Lepisosteus oculatus: one gene and its partners. The protein of the gene in region 3 purifies or fractionates together with the protein of the main gene of each other region. This does not show direct contact. Links are inferred from orthologs where the notes say so. Each region holds a gene or a part of one and is shown on either strand. Other genes may lie near its edges. The genes, in order: ift122, mlf2, dnajc7 and vps13c.

Region 1 (7,129 bases), on a different chromosome or scaffold from region 3:
CAACATGTGATTTTATTGCTGACTTTGTGTTTGGAGACAGATTTTTGTTCTGGAGACCACAAACCTAAATAGGTAATACAATATAGTATTCATGTTAATGTTTACTCAACTTTCTACAAAAATACCACTGTTTTATCAAATCAATACTCCACATAATATATTATTGTTTTCCATAGTCAGTAAAGAAGCTGCTGTAGTTATCAAACTGTCAATGATAAGCATCTGTGTTTTAAGTACGGAGAGATCACTAATGATTACCGGAATTATTTCCCTAAGGTTATACTAACACAAACATATCTTAACAAAACAACTCACCAAAATCACTGGACGAACAGGAGGCCAGCTGATGTGTAACTGGATTATATGAAACGCACTGGATGGAGTCATTGTGGCTATTTAAAAAACAAAACAAATTGTCAAATTGTTACAACCTATGATTTTAAAATGATAAAATAGGTTATCAATTCAGTATAACAATCAAATATTAATCAGGTCTTGGTACTAGGATGCTATACAAGTAAATTTTAAAGATCAGTAATTTTACCTAATTAAATCTGGGATTATCAAGCATTCCACAGCACCTATTCTCTGGCATATCCTCATAAAAGAATAGAAATTGGGCCCAAATTTACACAATTTATTTTCTAACAAATAACAGAACTATACAACACACAAGATTGCACAGCATACAATGTTTTTACTATGAATGGATATTTACATGTCTGCAAGCTCCAGAGCTCTGCCTTATATAGGCACAGAAAATCAAATAATTTTATCCTTAACAGGCCAAAAAGAAAGAACCTGCATTTTAAACGAAAGGGATTCTAACCAGCACTAAATCGCCCTCTCTAAACAGATGCTCACAGTTCGATGAGCCAATTTTCCTATTCTAAAATCAGTAAAATACAAAAGACAGTTTAAGACTGAGGATTGCACAATATATGAAACAACAATTTTCTTGAACAAGTAAAACAACAAACCACCTAAATAATATGGCTCAGAATCTGCTGCTCTTTCTGGATTAAAATTACCTGGACTACACCTGATTTCAAGTCTAATTTGAAAGACGCACTCTCTCCCAGCACAAGCTTCTCATGATGATAATGATGTCTCTTCCTCTTCCTCTCCTTACTAACCCTTCCTTTACATTCCTGTATTCATACTATTGCCCATTCCTATGGAGGCTGGATTAATGACCTCACTAGGAATGGCCAGATCACCACCCATGCTAAACCCTTGTAAAACCCAGTTGAGAACTCTAAATGGTATTATTAAATAATTCCTTAAAGTTGACTGAAGAGCCCATTGTACACAGGAATTCATAAGACAAGAAATTTCATAAAAGGTCATTTATTTGGCTTTTTGTGTCACGATTGTTACTTCTCAAAAGTAAAATTATTACATCAACAAGTGTAAAGGTGCAGATAAAAAAACAAATTCAGGAGGACTTTAAAATGTTTTACTTACGTATACTTCAATATTCCCTCCAGCTTAGAAGTCCAAATGATGATACTTTTGTCAGCTGAACCTGAAGCAAAACGCTTCCCTGGAAAAAAAATATATTGTTATTTTGTCAAGCTACTACACCTTATTGTGTATATGTAAGATACTTATTTAGTATGGGAAGAGCATATATACAGTAACATTTTTTTCAAAGCAGGCTTTAAAAACTGACCATCTTTGGCATAGGCAACACAGTATACTGTGTCTTTGTGCCCCTTTAGAGGCTGGATAAGTGTTCCATCAGCTGTGTCATAAACCTAAAACACAAGACAAAATAATTAATTTCCACAAAGAACATTCCACAGTTGCCTGAGATTTAAAAAAAAATCAGAAAAATAAACTCAAGGTGCTGAAAGTGTAAAACGTTAAAAATACGAAGGCATAGTATTTCTTCGAAATATGTCTTCGAAAAATGCTATATTCGTATAAGAGTATTTAAATAATATATATATATATCTTTACACAAAATACATCACAACTTCCAAAAGCACGTACCAAAACTCGATTTCCAGCAGCAACTATAAGTTGACTCCCATCTGGCTTGAACGCAAGGTCGTAAATACTGTTTAGGGGAAGAATGATTTATAGTTACAATAATGCACTATTGCTTCGTGATACTACTATAGCTATAGTTGTATACTTTTTAAATTAGTTTATGATAGAACTCCTTGTGGGATGTTTCATAACACAATCACCATACATATTTGAGTCTTTCTACATAATGTCAAAAGAAGGACAAAAAACTCAATGAAACGTAACAATGTCATCTGTCCGTTTGATAAATTGTTCCTCAGTTTGGGAAAGCGATTGATTTGGTCATATTTTATTACTGTAAGTGGGAAAAAAATCAAGTGAAAAGCAATGATTTTAAAAATATGATCAGCGAAACCTGCACAGTGTACAGTATTTATCTTTGAATGCATGTTATGTGTCAGCTCAGGGTATAAACAATCACAATTGTTATTGCAATTTAAACAATCACAACAATTTAAACATTTAAATAAATACACACGTTCATTCGATCAGATGCAAGAGTAATTGAGTGCTTAGTATGGTAACTGGCTAAAAATAAGCCATATGCCTAGGATGAACTGAAAGCAAATAAACACGACGACTTTAAATGACTCAATATTTTATAATGACAAAGTTCCAAAAACAACGTAGTTGTTTAATATTTTTACCATATGTTAAAGTGACACATTTTTCCTCACACAGTTTACATTGGCAACCATGGTTGCTATCGACAGCCAACGGTGTTAGCAACAGGCCTACAGATGCCGCTAAGCGACCATACGTGGTTAAAAACGTCTCCTTCTTACCATTGCTCTACTTTATCCCGATCATGCACTTTATCTATCCATGTCGGTACGGCTCTCATCGTGGTTCTGTTTTAGCAAGAGCTGCTCTACACTTTCCTTCCTCAAAGCAAACTAACAATGTAGAGAACCCACTTCTTTCCGCAATCACACTGTTTACATCTCGGAGTCACACTGGGCATGCGCACACTGCATGTAGCTTGCTGAGCGGTCTGCGCATGTGCGACAGGAGAAGTATACAGGAAAGTGTCAAGCATCACGGTTTTATTCCAAAGCAGAGTTATTGTAATTCCATCTTTTTAATTCTAATACGTCGAGCGGTAGCATTTTAACGATGGAACACTGATCTAAATCAGCATGACTGTGTGTTAGTTTTTACGTTTACGGATTCAGTTTATGCATGAATTTGAGTTACCGCGTTTACGGATGGATGATCTTAATAGCAGAACTACTGTCAGGTAAGAAAGCAAAACAGCTAAGTGATCTAAAAGCTGTATTAGTCCAGTTATTTTAATGATATATACTGTTAGTCAGAGTTTAATTGTTTGCTTATATTGTACCTATGCTTTTCTTATCTATGGCCATTATAATTTAACATAAGCAGAACACATTTTCAGTACATTTTCTATATTCGTAAAAACGTTTTGTATATATTTTATTTTTGGTTGACATGCTATGAAATGCATGTGTATTAATTTTAAAGGCAGGTTTCGTGACTAAATAGCTAATTGTGGTACTATATACCGTATGTTACAGGGATTTATAGTATTGCACGGGGTTATCCTAGTCTCATAGACAACATTTTTGTAACTAGACATTTTGGAAACTTGTGTGTTTTGTTTCCAAACCTAGTGAAACTGCTACCACAGAAGCAATAGCGTGTGAAGAGCCCTCTTTGTCAGATGAGGACCAGCAAGAGAAAGCTGCACCAAAGCAGAGTCCCAGCCCCGACTCGTGTATGGAGACCTGCTGCTGTCTCGGAGTCCCGCCAGGCTGGGTTAAAATGGTGAAACAGAGGCGATCTGGAAAAACGGCAGGGAAAGTAGACGTATATATCATCAGGTACTGGGTTATAAATATAGTACAAGTGTCTATATGATCCCAAATACATCTTCCCCATTTTAGATAAGCACAAGGGCATTTGAAAATGAACAATTATGATTGGTCAATAACATCCTCTAAAAAATGTTTTTACAAATGTTTATAAAGTAATTATATCTACATCAATGCTCAAACCTGTGTTAAAAAGAGGCACAACACTTCAGGTTCTATTTTCTTGTTGCTGTACATAGATGTTGTTACTCATGTTTATTGCAGTCTGCATGTCTGAGAGAATGGTCCCTATGCATTACCATATAGAAAAACAAGCTTTTAAAAATACATTTGTACAGTTGTTTTTGTAACTGTTAGTCAGATCTGAGAACAATATATATATATATGAGACGTATTTTGTTTTGAACCAAAGGAATTAACACTTGGTGTACTCAGTCCACAGGGAGGGAAATTCAGATCAAGAGCTTCACTCCATGTCTACCTTCAGAATAACAAAGAACTCTGTCTCAAGGGTGCAGATTTTGATTTCTCTGTACCTGGGAAGGACAAACAGTTAACAAAACCTCAGAGGACAAAAAAGAAGAAAGCTCTCCAACTTTCAGAAACCGTCTTGGACAGCACAACTGACATTAAGATTACAGCCGAAGAGGAACACTTGTCACCCAGCAGTGTGTCAGAAGAGCTGTCTGGACATGATGCTGCCACTGACGGGGTCTTTTCTGCGCCTTGTGCTGAGAAATCCAAGTCTTCAGAATCTGAAAGCACAAGTTGCAGAGCCAGGGCTAAACGTCGGCACTCACTGACAAAGCTCACTCCCGCAGGACCACAGAGAGGACAGAAACAGAGGAAGGATCCCAGCAGTAGGGTTAGAAAAGCCGGTGCTGAAAGAGCAGTGGGCAAACGGGGAAATAAACTGACTCCGGGCAGTGAAATGGAAGAAGGGCAAAGTCAACGCCACACTGGAGACCAAAAAGAGACTCAAGGGGGGCTTTTAAAAGACAAGCTTCTCAGACTGGCACAGGAATGTGAGGTAAATGACGTAAACGCACTGACTGTGAGCGGTGAAAGAGGAGAAAATCAAATTGCAAACCACACTGGAGATCAAAAAGAGACTGAAAAGGGACTTTTAAAGGATAAGCTTCTCAGACTGACCCAGATAAGTGAAGCGGATAAAGGAGCAGAGCTCGCACTTTCCCCAGAAGGTGAAAATGAGTCGGGAGAAGTGGTGTGTGACCAGCCTGAGGCCTCTGCCCCAGGGAAAAGTGCCTTACAGCCTGTGTCTAAGAACGCTGCAGAGACACAGCAAGCTGTTGTCGGACCTGAAACTGAGTCTGCGCTAGAAGATGGTGATTCACTTCCTCCGGGGGACTCGGGGACATTTACATCAGTGAAACAGCAGCAAAGCAGTAAGCATAAAGTTAAATCTTTGAGTATAGCTCTTAACGTTCTGGGGAACATTGAGGGGTTTCTCCAAACCGAATAGGAATCGTGGCCTGATATGTTTTGCAATGAAAATAGACAGTATATTCAGTTACAAAAGGAGAAGGCTTAAGAAAACCTTAGATAGAAACATTGAAATATTGTCCAAGTCCATCAATGAATCTGGTACTGTTTTGTTTACCTTCAGGTTGTGGCATAAAAATGCTGTCAGAGAAAAGAAAAACAAGCCAGTACTTCACTGGAAAATTAGCCAGAGAAGGTAAGGAAACATCATTTTCAACTTTTACCAGGAACAAAAAGGACAACTCTCCCAAATGAAACATGTTCACTTTATTTTTCTTAGCTCCAAGTCCACCCAGACGCAAGGCCTTTAAGAAATGGACTCCGCCTCGCTCTCCTTTTGCCTTGGTACAGGAGACTCTTTTCCATGATCCCTGGAAGCTTCTGATAGCCACCATTTTCCTCAATAGAACCAGCGGTAAGAGTTGTGGCTTCAAACAGAACAGGACAATGAGACAATTCCCTTCACAGAGAGCTAACCTAAAATACTAGGTTCGGATGTGGGGCGCGGTTCAGTTCTGTCTTTCTGTCAGTTGAAAGTAAAGAGACTCTTTCTTTTAGGTAAGATGGCAATCCCTGTGCTGTGGGAGTTCTTTGGGCGTTACCCGTCTCCTGAGGTGGCCCGTGTCAGCGACTGGAAAGAAATGGCTGAACTGCTGAAACCTCTGGGCCTCAATGAACTCAGAGCCAAAACAATTGTGAGGTTTTCAGGTGAGTGATACAATGTTTTAAACCAAAAAAGAAGCAATTATGTATTTCTCACTATACTGTAGCTACAGTATGTTAAGCAATTTGTGTGTCACAGTGATTTCTTCAACAAGTCCTAGGTGTGAGTTGTATGCGTGTGTGTGTTGGTGCCTATCTGCCCTGTGGTGGGGTGGCATCCCATCCAGGGTGTACCCTGCCTTGTGCCTGTTGCTTGCCAGGGTAAGCTCTTTCTGTGCTGGTACTTTGAACTAGAAGAACCGGTTAGAAAACAGATGTAAGGATGGATTTCTTCACCATAGTCCTGAACTACATAAAACTGAATGTTCATAATATTCTGATTATGTTGAGGATTATTTTTCCATGTTTTTCTTTTCATCAGTGTAATCATACGATTTGCAGAAGTAAGTATGTTGTATTTGGAGTGTAGTGCACTAAGCTCACTTTGTGATAAGATAAAACACTTTATTGGCCATATGCAATTTCTTGTATTAGGAATTTGTATTTTCGCATACCCCAACTTCCTTAGCCACAGACACACCACACCACCCCTGTCATAATTGGGTGATAGGGAGTTTCTGCTTATTATCCACAGACTATGGATAACAACCACTGTATGTTGTGGTTAACAAAGGATGTAATAATGACGCTTATCTAATTTCACCCTGCCCATCACAATCAGTCATAGTCAAAATGATTTTATAATCAGCCCTCCATCTACTGTACATTGTGTATTAGAAAACCAATGTGAAATTTTCACTTTTCAGCAGACACACAAGGTAAAAAGAGCACAGTATAAGTCTCTGATGATACTTGAAAGAGTTCTCTCCAGTTTTGTGTGTGACCTCATTTTGATCCTGTTCTCTACTGGCACCAATGTGACCGACTGGGGTTTTGCACCTGCTTAGATAGCAGACTCTTGTAGGAGAACAAACCTTTGCTCTCGTAAAGCCTTTGAACTCTGTACAGGTGCGAAAGGCTTACATTTCAGATTCTTGCCATTGCAGATGAATACTTAACAAAACACTGGAAGTACCCCATCGAGCTCCATG
Region 2 (7,697 bases), on a different chromosome or scaffold from region 3:
ACGGCTTAATTATGGAGTATCTTCACGGGGAATCGACGATGTCGTCAAAGCGGACTTGTTCAAAATGCCGAAGTGAAAGGGGAAACTCCGTGGAAATGCATTTAAAAGAGGGAACAGGGGGAGGGGAGGCGCTTTCTTTCCACACACAAGGGATGCGGGAGCAGGGAACAGAGCCAAGCTGCGGAAGCCAATATCCTGGCTCCGCTTCAAGTCTGGACTGGGCGAAAGGCTCATATCCAGTCGTTACCAAGGACAAAACGGGCTAGACAGGTCGGATAGTGTCCTGTTTGTAAGCCTTCTCATGTCCTCTGCCGCGCAGGCAGGAACCCGTAGCGCGGGGTCCCCGTCACTATGGAGGCTAGTGACTGCACCGCCGGTAGGACCAGCCCGGCCTGGCCCCTCACAGAGCCGCTGGGGTCGCGGTCGCCGCCGCAGGCCGGTTCCGGCTGCTCTCTGGCCCTGCGGGCGGAACCAAGCCGAGGTCGCGCTCGCGCCCCTGCCGGTTGCCGTCACAACCCAACTTCTCGAGTGACCACTTCCGCGAGGAGGGGGAGCGCGCAGGCGCGCGCGCGCGCGCCCCGGCCCGGCCCAATGCGCCGGCAGTGCGGAAATACGGAGCAAGAAATGTCTCAAGAATAAGAGTCAATACTAAAAAAGAAAAACCACCACCACAAGTGGAGAAAGAGACATTTCAACTCGGCCCACTCCCAGGTCGAGATGTACCAGCACTTCCCCTAACTTCAGACCTCCAGCGACAACAGTAGTGAAAGTGGAGTTACTGCTAAAAACACCAGTACCGTCAAGCAAAACGTCCTACTCACTGCAGTTAAAATCTCGGTTGAGTTTTTAAGATGGATCAGAGTCCGAACCGAGTTAACAGCCCGTGTTAACGTGTTAGCCGAGCTGAGATGCCATTATCACAGGTTTGGTTCAGAATTAGACGATGCAGGCGCCGCGGTTACCCTACAGTCGTTGCACGCTCAAACCCAATGCTAACTGTGCACGTTATAAACTCGAACGACATCATCGAGCGCTGAATCACTGAACGTCAAACTTTTAGCAGCCTTTCGATACCAACCAGTCCTGCAACTGAAAGGTATCCCAGCACTGGCGAATATAACAATCGCGGCCGAAATTAAGACCGGTGACTTTCTACCCAGGTGAACGCGGCTTGTCAAATGCAGCTCTTCATATCTCCTTAGATGAAAGTTTGTTGTTCTTTTTTTTTTTTTTAATATATAGATAAATACATCAAAAATGTCCCCCCAAACTCACCCGCTTTCCTGCTCCAATATTAGGCGTTGGTCACATCCGGGTTCTCGAAGTCGACGCGCCACGAGAGGGCGTTCCCATGGCGATCGCTCCGAGCTCCGCGCTCCGCGCTCCGCACTCCCCGGCCTCGCCCCGCCCCTACCCGTGCGTGTGTGCCTGTGGAGGCGCTCGGGTCTCCCCTAAATACCGAGAGCCACCCTCACGCACACAGCCGTACCAGTAATTCTCCTCCGACTGGTTTTTAACCTTTTCCATACTAAAAGCGTTATTGCTTAGTAAGGTAACTCCCCATAAGGATGCTTGATTGTTTAAGGAAGTGGGGGCTGAGCAAGACAACACTCACCGATTTTGTACCGTAATACGATTGAGAGTCTCCTGACCGGAGGTATTACGTTGTGGTATGGTCGAGCCACAGTACAGGACAGAAAAGCCACACAGAGGGTTGTAAGGTCCGCGCAGAAAATCACTGGGACTGAGCTACCCTCCATCAACCGGATATATCTCGACCAGTGCCACAACCGGGCTCGAACTATACTCCGGGACCCAATTCACCCTGGCCACGATCTGTTTTCACCCCTGGGTTCCGGTAGGAGGTATCGCAATATCAGAACACTGACAACTAGATTCAAAAACAGTTTCTTCCCCCAAGCAGTCCGCATCATAAACAGCTCAAATTAGCAGCCACACATATTAGCACCTGCACTTTAAGGAACTGCACTGTTTGTGCTATGTTCTGTCTTGGCTGTATTATAACGTCTGTTGTCTGAATTTATTGTCAATGTCTGTTTGTCATTTGTGCCTATTTTTTTCTCTCTCTCTCCTGTTACTGGGTCCCACTGAACGAGTAAGCATTCCAATATGCTTGTTGTATGGCAAATAAAAAAATAATAATCTTGATTCTGAAACACAGAAATTGGGTACTTTTGGAGAGGCGGCGTTAAAATGGCCAGTTCGGACAGGCACGGATTTGACGCAGCAGAGAACTTGGCACTAGTTAGAGGAACTGAGCGGAAACGCTGCTAACTTGATACGCATTGCTATTAAATTACTCCATTGTGACACAACCTTACTGTCCAAATAAAGAAGCGAGCTGCCTGGAGTAATTTAACATTACTGAACGAATGATCATTTCCAATTATTAACATGATGCTCGTCGGCAGATGACGATCAATGCAGTTGATTGATGGGATCACCCTCACATCTCACCCTGACTCCCCAATTTAAGAAATGCTCCTTGGCATTTGTACTGTGTCCCTTTCCACTTTAAACCCTAACAAACAGCTGATGTATTGGTAGGAACCTTTCAAGAGGTCTTGGTACATTAGGTAAAGACTGAACATAAGATGAACAGGAAGTGTAAAAGAGGGACAAGTGCAAAATAATGAAAAAAAGACTAAAAAACATACCCACATATTTTTCACTTCTTACAGGTAACTGGCAAGGTCGTATTCACTCGCTTAGGTAACTGATCGATACTTTCAGCTTGGCAAAAGCCAAACATTCCTTTTCGTCCACTTCAGCGGCAGACCAATGGCAACCATTTAACTGGCAGGTCTGGGTTTGATGAATATAAATCTGAACGGAAGGTATTCATCTCATTACGGAGCTGGATCTGCTACCAAGACTAATACTATGATTGGTTTTGTTATGTCAAAAGTGCTAACAAGTTCTGCCGCTATTCAGATGGTGGTTGTTCTTTAATTCAGCCACTAGACTTTATTCCTTTCAAGTTTGAATGTGATTTATAAATTTACACAGCTCATTTATAGCGGGGCAAGAAGGAAGCAGAGCACAAAGAATTAGCCAGAAACAAGGCTTGCATTTGATTAACCATTCGGTTCATGGCTACTTTAACCCATGTATAGTGCATATTTTCCACACAGTTGGGGCTGGCGGCCGCAATCCAGTTAGATGTATAGCTGTTTGATTTAAACGACATGGAACATCAGTATCAGTGAGTTGTAAAAAAACCCAACTACATCTCAGTTCAGTTACAGAAATAATCCTTCATCAGAATGAGTTGGGCACAAGTCCTCGAAAACTTTCACGATTCATTATACAGTAGGAAATTGAATGATTTTTATCCTGATCAGTGGAAACTCTGAGCTCACTTGATATAAACCTAGTCACTCGAAGGGACTGCTTTTGGGATCTGAAACAAGAAGCTGAAATAGAAGAGGTAGTTCAGGACAGAGAAATGGAAGTTAAGAGTCTACACTATGACTAGTGGGGGTCTAGGTGGCTATGCAGTCAGAGCAGATTCCAGCTTTGTGTCAGTCACAGGTTAGCATACTGCTCTAAACTTAGTTCCTGCACAGACTGTTAAGTCCTAAATGTTTCATCTTTCTAAAACCAAAAGCTCTCAACCTGGGGTGGCACTGTGTTGTAGGGGTTAGAACTGCTGCCTCATACGACTAGGGCCCTGGGTTCGATTCCAGGGGACTTGGTGGGTTTCCTCCCACAGTCCAAAGACACGCAACACATCATTTGGTTGGAACCTTTGCAAGATTTTTACATGTATGCTTAAGATCTCCAACTTTTGTGTGACTTAAGAAACCCTCCAGTTAAAAGGCAACCCCCCTAGACGTGTAGGAGCTGGAAGCAAGGGGTTCAAATTAAATTTAAATTTAGTATCAGGTGTATTAAAAGGTCAATTATTTAACGGAGTGCTCCTGAAAGAAAACCCAGCAGGTGTGTGGTGGCCCCCAGATCCTAGGGTCCCTAGATTTGGGAACCCCAGCTCTGGATCTGCTTAGACAAAGCCTTTTTGGGTGTATTCCAGTTATCGTTCTCCATCAACATTTCAAAGACGTGCGTGCGTGCGTGCGTGACGTGCAATCAACAACACAACACCGGATTACTGTCACGTTGCGCCCTTCACGCCAGGAAACACTACAGTGCAATATTATATATATATATAAAGATCAATTACAACGCCCCCACTCAATAGAAATTGACAAACGAGCAAAAAGAAATCATTTAGACATTCAACAAATCCCCAAGGTACAATCATTCCTGACGTGACCTGCTAATTTCACAGACCGAAAGGAAAACCGACGTAACCTCCGGGAGAACATTAACATTTGGTTTAGTGACGGTTCTCTTACAGCTTTATAAAGCTAATTAATAGGGTCCTGAAAAAAAAAACCCAAACAAACCAAAAAGCTAGCTGCAAAGAATGCAAAACGGTCGGTCTCCGAAGTTTTCTTGAGCAGCTGTGACCATATTGATCGCGACTATTGGTGCGCCGCAGTGACGTCAGACGCCCCCCTTTCATTCGGCCCAGCTGAGTTGAGGCCTGGAGCTGCCATCAATTTAGTAATTAAAGAAAACGATTCTCCCAGACAAAACTCCCCCCCCACCCCCAGACATCGACACATATACCCTCCCGCAGACCTCTCGAGTGCGGCCAGGAGCAGCAAGAGGCAAGCAAAACCCCAAAAAATGATGCGCTCCACCCCAGTGTATTTAACCCCCCCTTCCTCCCTCCGGCATTGCTGTAGTCAGTTTTTGTCAACCCGGTCAGCCAGACGTCACGTCCGGTATTTTCGGGTTAGCGAAACAGGTCCTCGGTTTGTGTTGTGTCGGGTTTAAATCCCCGTTTTTTAGGGGGGGGGACAGACTTGCTTGGGACGCCGGGCGTCGTTTTCAATAACAGGGGGACTGGAGGTGTCGTTTTAGGGAAGGCTGACCGTGCGAATCGCCAGGGGAGCAGGTGCAATAAGGTGTAGTGTAGCTCGTTCCCGGAGACGGAGGAAGATTTCTTTTGTGAAGTCCACTTCCGCCGACGAGAATGTTGTTTTGCTTGTGGGATTTTCACCAGACGCGACGAAAAATTTAAAGCCACTTCCCATCAGGATTATATATATATACACACAGATATCCGTATCTAACAGAAGCGTTCAGTGCATGCAACCGGCAGTTAAAGCACAAAGAGGGGTTTCGGAATCGGTTCCTTTGTGCAAAACAGCGAAATATTTCGGTTTGTGATTCAAAACAGCCGTATGTATCGACTTAGATAGCGTCCATTGAGCTACCATTTTTTTTTATATAAATACGGTATAGAAACGGGCTTGCAGGCTTATCCCTGGTGGGAGACCCCAGTGTAATTTATCTTCACAGCGCTCGACACGACACAAAAAGATGTTCCGGTATTTGAGCGATGTGGACGAAAACCCTTTTGTGATGTGAGTATATGTCAACTGTCGTATTCTGGTTGTATAACCGTAGTTGCTCCTGTTATGAAATCGTTCGTTGTTGGTCTTCTTTTTTTTTTTTCCAGCGGACTTGATCAAAGCCGGTTTGTTTCGTTTCTGTTCTGTGGCTGCTGGCCTGTTGTATCGAATGGTTCTCGTCTACACAGCGGTTTTTAAATTTTAACCATGCCATGCCTATAGGTATGGACCTAAAAAGACGTGTTTTTTTTTCTTTACTGACCTCCGCCCGCTGTAGTTGGTTCTACTTTTAGACGTATAATTCCATCGTTGTTCAAGTCAATTGCACGTTTGGATCACTATGTTTCTAATACAACAGTGGGTGGTTAATAACGTTATCAGACAAACGCTGAGCCCCGATGACTGGACTTGATCAGTTAAGTGACTTTCATTGACATGGACGTGACTGACTGGACTGTCTTCACTAAGTTTGATTAGTTACCTGAATTCATACCCTTATGCCTGTTGACACTGAGAGTACACTTGTTCACTCGATGCTGTGCTGGACTGATGATACCGTGAGCCCAATTTAGTTATCACCTGAGATTACCAGACTCGCATTGACAGAGCCTGAAGTGTGATTTACTGAGTTTGGTTAGTCATCTCAAATCATAACTGGGCACCTCGCTTGCACTGACATCTGTGACTGCAGGCTGTACTGGCCTGACTTTACAGTGTGTTGGATTTGTTATGAATTTATACCATAATCTGACTTGCATTGACATTAATAGAGCAGTCTGAGGCTTTCCAGGCTGTACTATTTTGCCCTGTGCCAGAATGAACGCTGTCTGCCTTTTGAGATTGATCAGTTTTTATTGGAGTTATCATTGTTCATTCAGTAACGCTGATGACAGTGTGATTGGCTCTAGGCTTTGTTGAGATGTAGGGACTTTAAGATTAATTAGCTTGAATTATAACCAGACTCTCTGAAGCATCCCAGGGCTTTTATTTTACAAGGCTGTACTATTTTACTCTATAGCTTTTTTTAAATTACTGACTTGGGAATATGATGCAGTTTTGCATTTCTCTATCAATTTTTCTCTTTCTTTGTACATCTAGAGATGGATTTGTGCTCCTGTGAGCTCAATCTTTTCAGGCCAGATTCCCTACAGACATTAAAGAGTGGCTTGAAGTGTTAAGCGTGCATCTCCTTCTTCCTCATTAGCCAATTAAGGTTATTCAGATTTTGAATAGTGAGTACTGTACCATAGTATAAAATATCATCGAGTCCTGTATGATGGGGGAAAAACATGTGTTTAGTGTTGGTGATGTAGTAACAGACAAATAAGTTCTGGAACCCGTGATGACGTTTAAGTAACTGAGTTTATTGCATCCAAGGAACAATAAAACCAAAGTATAGTTTAAAATATATGTACAAAATGTCCAGTTTATATAGCAAATTTCAGCTGCTTCGGACGCAATTGTTACCATGGTAATGGGGCTGGGCACCTGTGTTTGGACATTCCCAAGACCTTTTCAAGACGTTTTATCTTTCCTTAGTTAGGGGGTCTTTATCTTGCACTTGGAATTTCATCTCGATTAACTCCCATCCCTGCCATAACTCAAGGGCGCCTAAGCATGGGATGTCTTGTGTTACAAGAGGTCTTTGTGCGGAAAGAAATCGGTTCACCCCCTTTTCACATCTTGTATCTTTCTTCAGTGATTTTCCAATTAAGGCAAAAATGAAGGTGAAAGAGATTGACGGAATGACAATGCGAGTCACTGTAGTGGTGAGACTACAGCGGCACCGCTTGAAGAAAAGGTGGAGGTCTTGCGTGTGGCTGACCTGAGTTCAGAGACGACCGCACCTGTGCAGCCTGAGCCAGCAGGGCTGCATCTGTACAGCAGGAGTGGTGTTGCCTCCCAGAGATTCAGTGGGTCTGTGTGTCAACACTGGGGGGGGGGGATATGTTAGCGCACTGGGAGAGCGTACCCAATGTTGACTTTGTCGTGTGCCATTATGGCTCATGAAGGGCCTGAGGCCTCAGGAAGGTGACCAGGGTGGCTTCTGCTCGAGCCTGAACAGTCTGGAAGTCACTGCTCCCAAATGCTTTGAGGAGTAAGCCTGGCAGAGGTTGTAGGCAGGAGCTGTAAACGGTATGTCCTGCTCTAGCAGAGCTCACTTGCTTGAAGAACAGTCATCCTGAGTAGATCTGCCGGAGAAACGGCAGAAATAGCATGTGTAGCATGTCGAAGGCACCCGGTGGTTCT
Region 3 (6,880 bases):
CCGCAGAGACAAAAACTATCAATAGTCACTCTACCCTCCATCCATAACTGTTTTTTTTCCTTCTTCCAGGCCACCAGTCCCTTGGTGCACTGTATCAATTGAAATATAGGTCACCTCTCTGGAACAAACATGCACTGTATTGGCACTGTACTGTGTCACGAGCTAGCCTGAGGAAGCTCTGAGATTACTGCTGAAAATTAAACGCACTCTCCTTCATCATCTAGAGGCGCAGCATCATTACAGAAAGAACCGAGACCTCGCTCTAAAGCGATCCAGAACTATTTATCTCTAAACTGCCCTGCGCAACATCAAAGCAAACCTGGGCAAGTATTATGCAGCTCAGACAGGCCAAGGTCAAATTATATAAGATTTCTAAGGACAGTACTGTGAAATGCAAGTGAGAGCATAATTTTCAAGCATAGATACTGAACCGCATATCACAATTTACAGGAGCTATTTGTAGTGCAATGGTGCTAGAGGTCCATATTGAAGTGCTCCTCTTAAGCCATGCTGTGCAGCTATATTTACACCATGTGAAGTGTCGGATGGCTGGTTAACTTTACACAGTAATGAATATAGATATGAATCGAAATGAATAGATAATTCTGCATGAAGAGTCAAAAGATACAGGCTCGTTGTACCAACACTCAAGTGCTCAAGCACTACACCAAATTCCAAACCACTGCCTTTTAAAAAAAAATAAAGGCAAACAGTGGCATTCTATGACAGTTACAATAGAGAAACACTGTATAAATCACACACTACAGTGGCTCACACTGGCTTGAAGCCTGGAACAAAAAATGCCCCATTTGTGACACCACTATGTCACTGCAAAGCTTTCTGAAACGTTTCTCCAAATGGAGAGGCAATATATGAAACACTAACATCCCTGATCTGATAACGAATCTGTCGCTTTTGTCACAGCATCTCTTCACTGAGAAGATCTCTTTGCATCATGGAGTCTGGAACTGACACCTCCTTCTCTACCCCAAGTCTTCCTCCAGCTTGTCCATTTTTCAGTACAGCAGCAAGACCTCACCAAACAAAAGAAACAAACCCTGGAAGCCCTAAAAACAAAGGATGACCCTGAGCCAGATCTATGGTTTCCGAAGGCCACAAGTGAGACACTAAATTCCACTACTGATTGATTCTGTTCCACAGCGATTACTGAGTAAAGAAGATATGATCGGATTCCCGTCTTGAACTGTAATTGATGTTTTTCCATCAGGCTTTTCCTGTTGGCACAATTCCTATGCCTATGTCACACTAAATACAAGTATGAGCACAACAACAAAACGAGACAGAAGAATCTATTACGTTCTGTCAGAGTGGGACGGTGCCAGTCATTGCCAAGGCATGTATCTATACCATATAAGAGGAATAATGCACAGAAACACATAGTGACTTAATACATCTTCCTGCCATAATATAGCATATCACAGGGAAAGAGCAGAGTGCGTTTCTTCAGGTACTTCGATTCACTCAGTGCTGGGTAGTATGATTGGGCAAGGACTCTGAAGCGCACCTTCGCCACCCACAGTGAGGATCCTGGGTTTGCTTTTCGTACCCGCAATGTAAAAACTACTTAAACGATTTAAGCGCAGGATCGGTGTTCCGTGCTTTTTTGGAGTGACGCTGTATTCCCGGGTTGATTCGTGTGCTGCAGTCAATCTGACGTCCGCCTGGAGCCAGCGGAAATAAGGTCCACTTAAAATCGGTTTCGGTTTTGTTTCAGCTGTCAGGCTTTCGATTTTAGGCTGGTGAGAGCCGACCTCTACAGACTCCCCACCCCCATCTCATCATTCCCGGAGCTGTCCCTCGCCCGCTGCGCTGACCAGCCGGACAACCACGGCGTGCAGCTACTGGGACAGGACGGCGGTGTCCCATTGATACAGTTCCCGAACTAGAAAAAAGTCATAATGTATTGACTGTATGGGAGTTTATAAAGGAAGAGTCTGCAGATCCCAAGTCCCGTTGCCGGAAATTCCTTTCAATGACTCCTCTACAACAAATACTCGACGGATGCCACCAATAAAAACATGCCAATCTACAAACTGGAATATCGCGATTCCAGTTGCTACCGTGTTACCTAAAATGAAGACAGCACATGGAAGAGATCATTCTACTCGGGGACCCGACTTTCCGGGTTCAAACAAAGTGAATTACTTCTCCGCAGAAGGAAGAGGCACCGCTGATACACAAACGACAGCACAACTACAAGCAGGGCGCACAAACAACACTGTTGTCTCACTCGGTCGCTCTGTGCTGTCGCTCTTATTAACTGTCAAGACAGCCGCGCTTGCCAGAGGAGTTTATTTCATGTGTATTTCCAGCTACACGTCTAAAGAAACGTATTTGAGGCCTTCAACACCTCCAGGTAATTTCACTCAGATATTGTGGGAGACGACAGAACGAATTACACAAAGTGACCCATTTCCCCCTTTTTATAACGAAACGAGACCGGCTAGCACTGGAAAATCCAATACTTGCCAAAGACGTATACAACAACCTGACCTAAAACTATCCGATTTATTTAATAACAAATGATTCGTTTTATCAAGACGACTATGTAACGCCACTCAAAACACCTTCGCGGAAATGTCGGGTTTCCTTTGTTGTTTTATTCAAATAATTGTTTACATCTCGGACTGCGTAGACAACGCCGTTGTTTTTATTCTTGTGTAAAAGACGGCCGCTGAAAGCAGATTTCCAACCCCGGCGGCTGACCGGGTCTCGCTGAAGAGACACCGGGACGGATCCCCATGCCCGCGTCCTAGGGTGTAGGCCTCAAGCAGTCCGGCAAAACTTGGCTCAAGAACCACATACGAGCCTTATCTGTTAATGTACGGTCTATCCCCAAGAGCGTCACGGCGCTAGCGACTACCGACTGAAATAAATATCCACGTTGTACCTCGCCAGCTCCTCTTCGTTCATTATTTGCGGCTCTGGATCCATGATCACATCGCAGTCAACAGCGTCCATGTTACTGCCGGGGAAGAGAAGACAGACACTTCCGGGAACCGTAGAAATCACCGAGCGCTAGAGCGGCCTGCGGCAAAGACCCATTTCCTCTCCTTTTTGGGAGGGAGAGAGTCGAGCCCGCACGGCCGCTACACGCCGACGTGAAAAGGCGCAAACAGCGCCTCCAGTGGCGGCGCCAGGCTCCAACATCCCTTCAGATTCAGACTTGATTATCCGCCGGTGGAGCTGTGTTCGGAGTCCAACACAACAATACAGCATAACAGCCGTCACCAACCGACACCAGATCAGGGCAAACATGACTAAAACTCTATGAAAACCATGACGAAAATAAAATGTGAAATTCCGTAGGGTAGGAACGGTTTCCAGGCGACGCTTAAGAACAGTGGTTAGCATTGGTGCCTGGGTTCAGTTCCTGTGGAGTTTGTATGTTCTCCCCTGTTCGTGTAGGTTTCCTCTGGGTGCTCCAGTTTCCCCCCACAGGCCACAGAAGTACTGGCAGACTTGTTGGCTTCTGGGGAAATTGGCCCTGGTGTGAGCGAGTATCTGTGTGTCTCTTGTGATGGACTTGTGTCCCGTCCAGGGTGACCCTGCCTTGTACCTGTTGTGTAGTAATAATAATAATAATAATAATAATAATAATAATAATAATAATTACACTTATATAGCACTTTTCTGGACACTCCACTCAAAGCGCTTTACAGGTAATGGGGATCGCCTCCACCCCCACCAGTGTGCAGCCCCACCTGGATGATGCGACGGCAGCCATAGTGCGCCAGAACGCTCCCCACACACCAGCTCTCAGTGGGGAGGAGAGCAGAGCGATGAAGCCAGTTCAGAGATGGGGATTATTAGGAGGCTATGACTGGTAAGGGCCAATGAGAAGTTTGGCCAGTACGCTGGGGTTACACCCCTACTCTTTTCGAGAAACGCCCTGGGATTTTTAATGACCACAGAAAGTCAGGACCTTGATTTGACATCTCATCTGATGGATGGCAGCTTTTTTCAGTATAGTGTCCCCATCACTATACTGGGGCTTTAGGACCCACACAGACCTCAGGGTGAGCGCCCCCTGCTGGCCCCACTAACACCTCTTCCAGCAGCAGCCTTAGTTTTTCCCAGGAGTCTCCCATCCAGGTACTGACCAGGCTCACACCTGCTGAGCTTCAGTGGGCTGCCAGTTGTGAGTTGCTGGGTGACACGGCTGCTGGTTATTATTATTATTATTATTATTATTATTGAAGCTTATATATAAAAATGATTGGATTTGTTATAACCTGCGCACAATCACAAATTCCGCTAGAAATCGTAACGCCCTCCGGTCGACAGGGGTCGCTCTTGGTTACGATCCCAGGTTGCTCCTGTAACCAGCCCATCGATTCGCAGCCTGTGGGTTGGGTTAGTGCCTACGCAAATTGTAAACAGGAAATCGCCGCGGTTGTCTGCCTCTGCACTTTAACAGTACAGTATTTTCAATTATTTTAATATAGTTTTGCATTTTTGTTCCTTTTTAAAATGTGTTTTTAAACGAGTGTAAGCGCGCTTTTTTCCCCGTCGCGGTGTTTTATAGCTTGGCCGTGGTTATTTTACATCACTTTTTGTGAAATGATGAAATTTTACCCTGAAATGATGTTTCAGTTAAGATGTAATAAATGCAACCTCTTTTAAACTTAATTGCACTGGTTTATGCAGTACTATTTAATCTCTGGGAATATCAAGAGAAATTTGCTGGGGAGCGTTTTGACTCTTACTTTTATGTTGTAAAAGTCAGGAAGATGTAATAAAGAGAACTGCTTGCCTGCAAAACTGTATTTTTCAACGGCGCCTGAAATACATCCATCTGAAATAACGCAGTGTGCAGTTCTGTATTGTAGCTCCTCGTCTAGTTGCTCTTATTAAATGGACGATAGCTGTTCCGTGCATTCGCTGTCAGAAAGCCACTTATTCCTGGTTTAGGAATGGAGAATAAAGTACAGCCACTCCGCTTTACACAGTGGTGCACCGTGTTCCTGGTGTAATGTAAGATTGTGGTGGAAGCCGGCAGTGTTACATCTCTTTTCCGAGACTGGCGGCAGCTTTTCAAAATTCAACAGGTTGGGCCCGTCTCGTTATAGCAGTATCGTCTTGAAAACGAAAAGAAATGTGACCGTTTCTACGTAGATCGAGGCTGGGAGACATGCTGAAGACGGTGCTGAAAGCTAGCGCAGTGCTCGTGTATTTGACATTTACAATAACCGCGTGTAAAAGGTCTTAAATAGAGACAAAAAGATCAATGTTTACCGCTAATGCAGATGGCTAATCTAGAACGAGCAAGTCATACCGATCCGAAAAAAAGGAGAGGATGGGGCTTTGTTGAAATTTTTTTTCTTGTTTTGTTGATATCGTGTAGACGCCAGCGGACTATGGGAAAGAGCTGTAAGGTCGTGGTGTGCGGACTGGCCAGCGTCGGTAAAACCGCTGTGCTGGAACATGTGCTGTACGCCAACCATGTCGTCGGTAAGTAACCGCGACCTGGTCTGTCGGGGATTTTCACAAATTCTGTCTCGGGACCTTGAATCAAGTTTTCAAAACCCCCCAGGGAATTAACAAAGTCAGCGCAGTGGGCTTGTTCAAAATCGAGAGCTCAAACCGGAGGACACAGGTGAAAACTCCGGGGAAGAGCATTTAAAACCAAGAACAGGAGACAATTTTTACACGATGCGTTGTGAGAGTATTAAGACTCGCAGTAGTTTTGTTTAAGCTAATCCTCTGGATCCTTTCTGGAAAACGGAAGAGATCCTTGTGCCTAGTAGTAATGCAGCTAGATGAGCCAAGTGGTCTCCTATGATTAGTAAACATTTTTATATTCTTATATTCTTTATTATCAAACTTCAGGTTCACTGTAATGACTCATTCTATTGTTGCAATTCCCAAATAATTATTTTCTTGAACCTCAAAAACATATTTTCTATATATTTCTGTGCCCTGTTCAAAGAAAAGACATTTCAATGTGATTTTTGTTTTCATTTTCATTGCGATTACCTGTAACTGTAATGATCATATCATCAACTGACTGTAACCAAAATCTCACCACTGGAGTCACATAACTGGCAGAGCAATGCCAGGGGTAGCTCTTGTGACTCTTTGTGATGTCACAGAGAGATGCCTCTCCTCCCCTCCAGACCAGCCCTGCCGTCAGGCATGGTGGCTCTTGTAGAGTGGTCAGCTCGTCCGCCTTTCCTCATCCCTCCCTGTGCACAGTAGAGGAATCTTTGCAGTGAGTGGCGATACACGGAAACAGCTGTAGGTTTCAGACTGGCTGGGTGTAGCTAAAAACCATAATAATAATTGCGACGGCAATGAAAGAACCACTCTGTCTGTCCGTGCAGGCTCCGAGCCCATGGAGACTCTTGAAGATATTTACATCGGGTCCATTGAGACGGACCGCGGGGTCCGGGAGCAGGTGCGCTTCTACGACACCCGCGGGCTGAGGGAGGGCATGGAGTTTCCTCGCCACTACTACACCTTTGCCGATGGCTTTGTGCTGGTGTACAGCATCGACAGCAAGGAGTCCTTCCGACGCGTGGAGGCCCTCAAGAAGGACATTGACAGGCACAGGGACAAGAAGGAGGTATGACCCTCACCTGTCCCTTTGTATGTGATGGATGCAGTAGCTTTGCCCTTGCATAGGGAGCCAGTTGGTATGCTCATGCTTTCAGTTGTATGTCTTCAAGATAAACAGGAAAAAAAAAACCACAAAGCAGAGAACACAGCAGAAACAAAGGTTTATTTAAGGTTTTTAATAGGAAACACTTACAGGCCAAGGGTTTGAGTTTCTGGAACACAAACCTCTGCCTTGTTGGTGAAGACAGTACTCTGGCTTTCTTCAAGTCACAGCTGGATAAGATCCTTGGGTCAGTCA
Region 4 (7,896 bases), on a different chromosome or scaffold from region 3:
GCATGCCAACCTATTCTGATAATATTAACTCAGAAATCAAACATTGAGACTGGTATTTTGTTATCCCAAGGGATGAAGCTAATCATACAATCACAAAACCTTTCTGCACGCTATTTAAAAATGACAATAACATTATGCATGTGTCCAATCAACTTCTGAAATAAACCTTTAAAGACTGTTGCATCTTCATTGTGCACAGATGAATAAAACCTTGTACTAGAGGAATAAATATTAACTAACAAGTTAATAGTTGCTTAATTAATGAGGACATTTTAATCTGTGGGCAATCACTATTAGACAATGACAAGGTTAGAATCATGTTAATTTGTAAAGAAAATTGTCCACACAGGTTTCTGGTGTCCATGGTTATTGCTAATCACTGTGAAGGTAGAGAATATAACAAGCTTAATAAAAGCAAAAGACAAGACTTCTCTGAGTTCACCAAGTGCTTTACTTTAAGCAACACTAATAGGGATATTTTGTTTAACTTTTTAGACCAAAACAAAACTGTGGCATTAGCAATTAGAAGATAATGGGTGGGCAGAACCCAAGTTAATGATTTAGACCCGATTTCAACCATGCACAGATTGTGAAAGCAACACAAATAATGATGAGGTAAGAGCTGTTTCAAAAGACATGACCAGTGGAGACCTGGGTGAATTTGTGGTAGATTTTTCTTTCTTCTTTCTTGTTTTACAGAATTGTCTTCAATAATTTAAACCAATTTACAGAATCAGAAAAGGGAATGAAACACATCTTCCCTAAGAAAAGTCAATGACATACTAGACAACATTCTTACTCTTAATGTACTGTACTGTAGCTCTGTCAATGTACAGCATAACAAGACAAACCAGTCTAGTTTATCTAGGGATTTATGCAATACACTGTAGACGTTCTTCCTCTAAAAGCTCCACTGTGCAACATTCATTTTCACTACTGTAGGAGTTAATTAAAAGTACAAGAATTCAGTAGTAGAATAAAGAAAACAGTATACTGTTATACTGTGGTTGACTGAGTCATTTCATTACTGAAGTGGAGAAAGAAGAATGAAGATACTCAGTACCTGAAGTTAACATTTTTGCCAACAAAATGACTGTTTCAATGGGATTCTTGTAGGAGGTTAATAACTGAGGAGAAATAGCTAGCAACCAACATTTTAAAACTGGCCTCCATGACCGGACCTGAAAATGTTTAAAGAATATCTGTATAATACAATCCATGTGAAGGAAAAGAAGAATAATGATTGTTTTACCACTGTCTAGTTATACGTCATTATCCATGACACTGAAACACCCATGAACATCAGCAATGTCAGGTGTGTCTCTGCACATTAATGTGCTTGAAACGGAGTTACTGTCTCACAGGGAAACGGGTCACAATTTTGGGCACCTTTTTATTGTGGCAGAACATGGCAAAAGGCAATTTTAGAAACACGTGCTTGGCTTCCAAGAATTAAGCTCCTCCCATGAAACTACTCTACTCAGGCCTTTCTAAAGCCTTGAGAAACAAATGCAACACTAGAGTCCATCCCCAAACATATATTATTCAACTGAATGCCATTCTATTGTATTAGACAAAGAATAACAGATGACAAATATTTTATGGACAATGTCACAAAATACTGTCTTGATAGATATTTCAGACACTACAACATCGTATGAATGGTCTTAAAATTTTGCCTTTTGCCATCTTTTATATACTGTACATTAAGTACATCGATATATCCAAACTTCTTTAGGAAAAAGCAGAAAAACTAAGTCTAGAAATACTGCCCAGTTATCCACCTGGTTATATTGGCTGCTATTAAATCCTATTTGCAGGATTAAACTCTCAAACACATATCATATTGACATCATCTATCATTACGTTTTCTGCACAAAAATAATTCATTAGAAGCTTTGTCTTCATCTCAAACTGGTTTTGTCACATAAGTGAGAGCAAAAAAGAAAATGCTGTCGGCTCCAAAAGAACTGTGGACAATTCCACTCTTCAAAAATAAGTCAAGACAAGATCACTTGCCCTGGAGCAGTTAGGGTTAAGGGCCTTGCTCAGGATTCCTCTGCTGGCCACAGGATTTGAACTGGCAAGCTTCCAGCCACAGGCACAGCCTCTTAGCCACAGTGCCACCACTCCACCCAAGTTATACACCATAAAATGAAGTAAAATGAATTATATTTTAATTAGAAATAAGAGGTTTCTTAATATTTGGATGCCAAAAAACGCAGACCGCCCAGGATATTTCAGTTTCTCATTTAGCATTATTTATAAACAAGTAGAGAAGAGTATTATCAAATCTCACTTGTGGCTTATCTCTCACATGCTAAAGACTCCTTCAGAGGCGTTGATTCTGATTGAGAGGCGACGTTAGCATTCATCAAGACACTGAAAAACACAAACCTTGCTGGGCTCGTACACTGTGTACAGCACCCCCCCTCCCACACACAGCAGTGTAAACATTAATTATGGACGTGTACACAGCTGGGTAACCGTATACTGTACACCTCAAATGCGACAATCAACACATCTGTACTGCGTTGAATAAATCAACATACTGCAAACTTAAGACTTAGGCATTTTCGCTCGTCATGTGATGTGTTTTGTAATACACTCTTGTTCGCTCAGTTGGCTACAACTGTCGAGACTGACATGTTTTGGCCCTGAACCATGAGAGTTACTTTCCTGATTCCGTCTTAATAGCAATAGCTACAAAGCAGTGAAAACGTTAACATGCACGCAGAATCCTACCTCCCCAAATGCCAATCTTCAGCTGAGACTTGTCAAGATTTTCCACATAGTCGCCTATAAACCTGTTTAATAAATCGCTGACCAGAGACTCAAACACCATGGTTAAACAGCGGTGCACCCTGCCTCCGTCTTAAAGAAGCAGCTGTCTCGATGCAGTGTGAGCAGCACAATCCCGTGATGCCTGGCTCATCCCTTTTGTAGTACAAGTGCTAAACCGAAAGGGTAGGATTTTCTGTAATCAACTGGTTTTGCCTGAGCTGTACAGTATACTGGCGGCGGACACCGTCTGCGGATGCAGTCAATCAGTGTGACCGCAGCGGTATTACGGTAATTCAGCCTGCGGGTGCAGTGGTCACCCTGACCTTTGAACCGACTGTCATCGAGCTGTTTGCAAAGGTTTGACAAGTTAAATGAAAACGATTAAGAGTTTTAAGCTAATACATTTATGGCGCTTATAGTCACTGCAATAAGATATCTTAGTGTGAACCCAGGTAAATGAGAAGTAATTAATGACTTAGAAATATTTTAATATATGATGTAATAATATATATTTAAGCAATTAACAGCGAAAGAGCTGGCACTTATCTAAAATTAATCTTTTATCAGATGTGGTTGTTTCGTATATTCAATTCAAGTGTTATGCTGTGATACTTTATGTTCTGTAAATATGTAACCTTGGAAAGAATATCAGTTTAAGAAGAGGAAAATATAACATCCTATACGCTTGATTTCCTGCTTACTTCTTACAATCTTTAAATGTGTGCACTTTATGTTACTCGTCGAAACTACTAAAGTTTGTTAGTAGTTTGTTGAGAAGGCATAGCCGTGTAAATTAATATATACAGTACACCTGAAGACAGTTCTCACTGTAGCTGACTGAATATTCATGCACACCTTTCAGTTGTTCAACGTGTTTACGGCTCTTTTAAAACCGCTGAAGGCTTGCAGAGCTGTTTCTTGGTATACTGTTTCAAAGACATGATCACTTCCATACCGAAAACTGGAACGTGTTTTATAAAAGTGCACCCTCCTGTAGTTCCTGTTCAGTTCGGACACTGGATTTTTAACATCATTAGTGTAATTTTTGCTTCTGCTGAATGCTAATATTTTTACTATGAATACTATTTATTTTAGTTAAAATAATTTGTGGATAGAACTTTTATTTTATTTAGACGGAATTCCAACACACCTACAGGTAACACGTTTACGTTGTTCCAGTGGGAACTTCTACACTACGATCTCCCGATTTTCCATCTCATTGTTTACAGATTGTAAAGGCGACTCTTGATAATCTCTTTCTGATCCTGATGTTAAAATGCTCGTACAGTACTAGTAGAAGAGTGCCTAATGATTCATATCAAATCACTTTCAAAATGTATCAGATTTAAATTAGTATTCAACTAAAACTGGAATACAAGAATTAGGAATATTACTATTCATATATAAAGATTCAAAATTCTGAACACAGTAAGTGTATTCCTCACATCACAATAAAAATACATCACATTTACCTATTTTGTTTACTATTCTACATAACCTTTTTAATTTGTTAAAGAGCTTTTGAAAGCACTGGGATATGTATATCTGGAATTATACCTGTAGGATTTACAGCTGTTACTTGAATGAAACTAAAGCAGTTTCAGTACTTCTTTAAGAAGGAACCCCCTAAATGACTTGCTCTTTACAGAAGAAAGAAATAGATTTGTTTTTACAATTAGTAAATGAATATATGAATCAAGCTTGCCTGCAATAAAGGAGACCTGGATCTCTGAGGGTGCTGATGTTTTCTTTGACAAGGATCAACTTGTGCTGTAGTCAGGTATAATACACAATAGCCTTGTTTAGACTGTATTTTTCTATTTGTAGGTTTACTGTATGTGGCTCACAAACTGTTTAAAGGACAAGGACATAAAGATGAATACAGACATTTATCGTGAAAGTATTTTGTTACTTTGTTTCTAATACAGTAGCTGTTCTGTATCGGTATGAGGAAAAAAGAACCACCCAACACCTGAGCATGTTTTTCAAAATTGCCATTTAATATCAAACCAGCATTTAGCAAAGTATAAAAGTATAAATAAATAACACTTTTTGCTGTATATACATATAAATAGTAAAAAAGGTGTCCTGTAGAATCATTATGCAGGTGAAATGCTGCTCAGAGGGAGCTCACAGTCTCCCAAAACATAATCTCTTTTCATACTTGACATTTTGTTAACAACTTTAAACCTGAGAGACCTGTAAGACAGCTCTTCTTCAGAAATTCCATCAAAGAAAAAGTCCTCGTTGAAAATAGGGTTCCGGCTTTTCCGGATCACAGTGCTGCGCTGCTTCTGGATTTTTCCCGGCAGAAGAGAGATGCTGACACTGCAGTTGATGCTTTTGGGATCCACGGACAAGGCATACAGTCCTTCTGCACTGATCAAGCGCACACGGAGCCTCTGATTCTCTGGGCTATACTCAGCAGAAAGTCTTAGGGTCCCATTTTTCCCCAGGGGTATGAGGCTTTCTTTCATGAATCTATCCCTGTAGTACACTAGGTCCATTGGGAAAATTGCAGGGGGGGTCAAGCCATAGGGACAGGGCATGGGGTCTATCAAGCCCTCAGATGCTCTTCTCAAGATATTTGGGCTGTTGTCTGTTGAACTCCCCTCGTCTGTTGACAAAGAATTGTTCCTGCACACTGTTGATTTCTTCACAGTCCTGGACAGCAGCTTCTCCTGGCTCAGTGCCTTGAACAGAGAGGATTTAGGGGGAGACCTGTTTAACATGGGAGAGCTGAAAGGGGAGGACTCTGTGGATGAAGCAGTGTCACTGTCCAATGTGCCCTGCCTGTTCAAGCTGAAACTTCTGGGGGAGAGCCTGGAAGTTATGGCGTTCAGGCTGAAGGTGGACGAGGAGATTTTTGAGTACGTGCTGGACCTGCCTCTGGGAAGTACCACTGGGATCCCACAGGAGCCGGGATCGTTGTGGAACAAAGACTCTTTTCTCCTGGTGTGTGGGCTTTCAAGCAAGGTGCAAAACCCATAGGAGGTCTGGGCTTTTGCAAGATGGGGCAAGGACAGTGCAGCTTGGGACTGTGGATCAGCATTGGTGCTCTCTTCGTCACTGTATCCATAGTCAAAGGGCATCTCGTCCACACTTTCCACCTGGATCACATGAGTGTTGACCAGTTCTCGGTGCTGGGGAACGTTTCCAGGACTGCCCTTTTCCGAAGAGGAAATCTTAAGGCTGGGAGTGGGTTTGTTCAGTTCAGCAGTCTTGAGGTCCTGCTGGGAGGGGAATTTCGGCGGTATGCAGAACTCGGGGATTCTGTCGGGGGTGATGATATTAGGGCACAGGGAGATCTTTTTGTTTTTCGCAGACGACATCTTATCTCCTCCAAACATGATGTCTCCGATTTTGAAACTGTATTCCGTTATGGGGAGAGACAGGCTTGTTCTTTCCACAGACACGCGGATTTTGTCCATCACCCACATGGGCAAAAGATCAGAGAGAAGAAGCGCACAAATCTGTAAAAGCAGAAGACAACTTGTGAGCATAAGTGCTGATATATAGCTGGCATTCTGACGTGTGTCATATATGAAATTATACAGCTGTCTTGCTGATGTGTAAAAAAAGAATTCACATTATTACAAAAATCTATGATAACATTAAACAATGAATCGGTTTATGTATAAACATAACTTTATGAGCAAAAACCAAGTCTTAAGCTTACCTTCAGAGATTTCAGAAATTCAGCAATGCGTCTTTAAAGACGGGTTTGCTGAAGAATTACCATAAATGGTCCAGTGTTGTCAGAGAGCTTCTCAGCTGCAGGTCTTCCCCCACTTCAGGCTTGCTCAGGTTTCTGGTGTGCTGAGCGCTGCGGGCTGTATAAATAGGGCTGTGATGTCTGGAGCGGCTCCAATCCCATTCAAGCGCACCTCCCATGTGGAAGGAAGGAGCACGCTCTGGAAGGACCCTCCCCCTTTTCCTAGTAGACTGTAGTCATGGAAATGGTGAAACCACAACAGTACTCTTCACGGGCATGAGCATGCCTCATGAAAAAAAAAGGTTAAACAGATAAGCGATGGAGAAGGTAAACTGCTCGTAACAGAATAATCAAAAAGTTTTTCGATACAATGAGAACATTTAATTCGCTTATTTGTTTTTCCATTTTCGTGAATGTGCACACCGGAGTGAGATTATCTGGGTCAAAATGTAAGTGATGTATTAATTCCTCCAGCAGCAGGTTTATAAGAACTAACAGGTACTGGAGGTATATGTACTGTAAGTAAGGTTACAAACATGGGGTGACTATCTGGTTCATCTAGCTCTTTTGATACAGTAGTTCATTCATCAGAGGATCTCATCCAGTCTTTGCTTCCTAGAATCCCGAGTTCTGCCTTCAACAACGTGGCTAGAATAACTTTGTAAAGGTCTTTCAGGATTTTGAATTCTTGGATCAGGGCATGTCATCCAAGTAGTCAAAATCCTATACAGTATGTTTAATGTTGCTGGCTCAGTCATAACTCTCTCATGTTGTGAGCTGCATGACAGTACTGTCAAAGGCCTGCACATGTACCAGCAGGTGAAGACTTTTAATGAGTATCCACAGTAATATATTCTGTTGATCGAGTAGCCTGAACTGTCATTTAAAAAACATCAAATTTTTAAAGTACTTGCCTGCTTTTGTGTGCATCTATGCATGTGTTTTTGTTTGAAGTAAAAACCATGAAGTGTAAAATTACCAAAAAACTTCTACTATTTATGTAGAAATTAGCATTTATGTAACATTCTACTGTGTTATGCACTGTAAGGACAAATTACTGCCTGCAAGTCACTTTGAATATCTACAAAAATATATACTGTATAATGTATGAAATGTGCAACTGTTTTGCATTTATAAATCAGTTCATTTCTATTAATGATCATGCAAAACAATCCTTAATGTACAGTATGCAGTTAAAATGACTTTTCTCTAAATTATTCTTCAGTAGTTGACTCCATAACTTATTTTAATCAATTCTAACAGCTCCTCTGATCCCCAATATGTGTGGTTCGTTCCTAAGCTCCTGACAAGGTATGAGTCATACCTGCCTACAATAGAAAGATGTTATTCAGCCTCATGTCCCATCCAGCTCCAGTCATCTTTCTCATCTCTACTCC

Evidence for each region.
Region 1: the proteins of dnajc7 (region 3) and ift122 purify together in Homo sapiens (co-immunoprecipitation; 3 studies listed by BioGRID and IntAct, counting the BioPlex papers as one, with this or other methods). This does not show direct contact. The link is inferred for Lepisosteus oculatus from reciprocal best matches to the Homo sapiens genes DNAJC7 and IFT122.
Region 2: the proteins of dnajc7 (region 3) and mlf2 purify together in Homo sapiens (affinity purification with mass spectrometry; 3 studies listed by BioGRID and IntAct, with this or other methods). This does not show direct contact. The link is inferred for Lepisosteus oculatus from reciprocal best matches to the Homo sapiens genes DNAJC7 and MLF2.
Region 4: the proteins of dnajc7 (region 3) and vps13c purify together in Homo sapiens (co-immunoprecipitation; 4 studies listed by BioGRID and IntAct, counting the BioPlex papers as one, with this or other methods). This does not show direct contact. The link is inferred for Lepisosteus oculatus from reciprocal best matches to the Homo sapiens genes DNAJC7 and VPS13C.

The regions. Positions count from the first base shown.
Region 1 is NC_090699.1:55,798,482-55,805,610, forward strand, and holds the start of ift122 (intraflagellar transport protein 122 homolog), read right to left. Parts: upstream 3,008-7,129; 5' UTR 2,882-3,007; coding exon 2,823-2,881; intron 2,404-2,822; exon of another isoform or gene 2,271-2,403; coding exon of another isoform or gene 2,263-2,270; intron 2,066-2,262; coding exon 1,999-2,065; intron 1,761-1,998; coding exon 1,676-1,760; intron 1,547-1,675; coding exon 1,468-1,546; intron 393-1,467; coding exon 316-392; intron 65-315; coding exon 1-64. Other genes in the region: mbd4 (methyl-CpG-binding domain protein 4), read left to right, coding at 3,216-3,277, 3,672-3,881, 4,308-5,278, 5,500-5,571, 5,656-5,790, 5,934-6,083, 7,085-7,129. UniProt on the Homo sapiens protein: As a component of the IFT complex A (IFT-A), a complex required for retrograde ciliary transport and entry into cilia of G protein-coupled receptors (GPCRs), it is required in ciliogenesis and ciliary protein trafficking.
Region 2 is NC_090718.1:3,191,931-3,199,627, forward strand, and holds the start of mlf2 (myeloid leukemia factor 2), read left to right. Parts: upstream 1-4,678; 5' UTR 4,679-4,697; intron 4,698-4,777; exon of another isoform or gene 4,778-4,997; intron 4,998-5,394; 5' UTR 5,395-5,415; coding exon 5,416-5,459; intron 5,460-7,697.
Region 3 is NC_090723.1:5,515,960-5,522,839, reverse strand, and holds the start of dnajc7 (dnaJ homolog subfamily C member 7), read right to left. Parts: upstream 3,020-6,880; 5' UTR 2,983-3,019; coding exon 2,912-2,982; intron 1-2,911. Other genes in the region: nkiras2 (NF-kappa-B inhibitor-interacting Ras-like protein 2), read left to right, coding at 5,382-5,475, 6,348-6,589. UniProt on the Homo sapiens protein: Acts as a co-chaperone regulating the molecular chaperones HSP70 and HSP90 in folding of steroid receptors, such as the glucocorticoid receptor and the progesterone receptor.
Region 4 is NC_090700.1:57,745,079-57,752,974, reverse strand, and holds the start of vps13c (intermembrane lipid transfer protein VPS13C), read right to left. Parts: upstream 3,023-7,896; 5' UTR 2,846-3,022; coding exon 2,746-2,845; intron 1-2,745. Other genes in the region: c2cd4a (C2 calcium-dependent domain-containing protein 4A), read right to left, coding at 4,884-6,224. UniProt on the Homo sapiens protein: Mediates the transfer of lipids between membranes at organelle contact sites. Necessary for proper mitochondrial function and maintenance of mitochondrial transmembrane potential.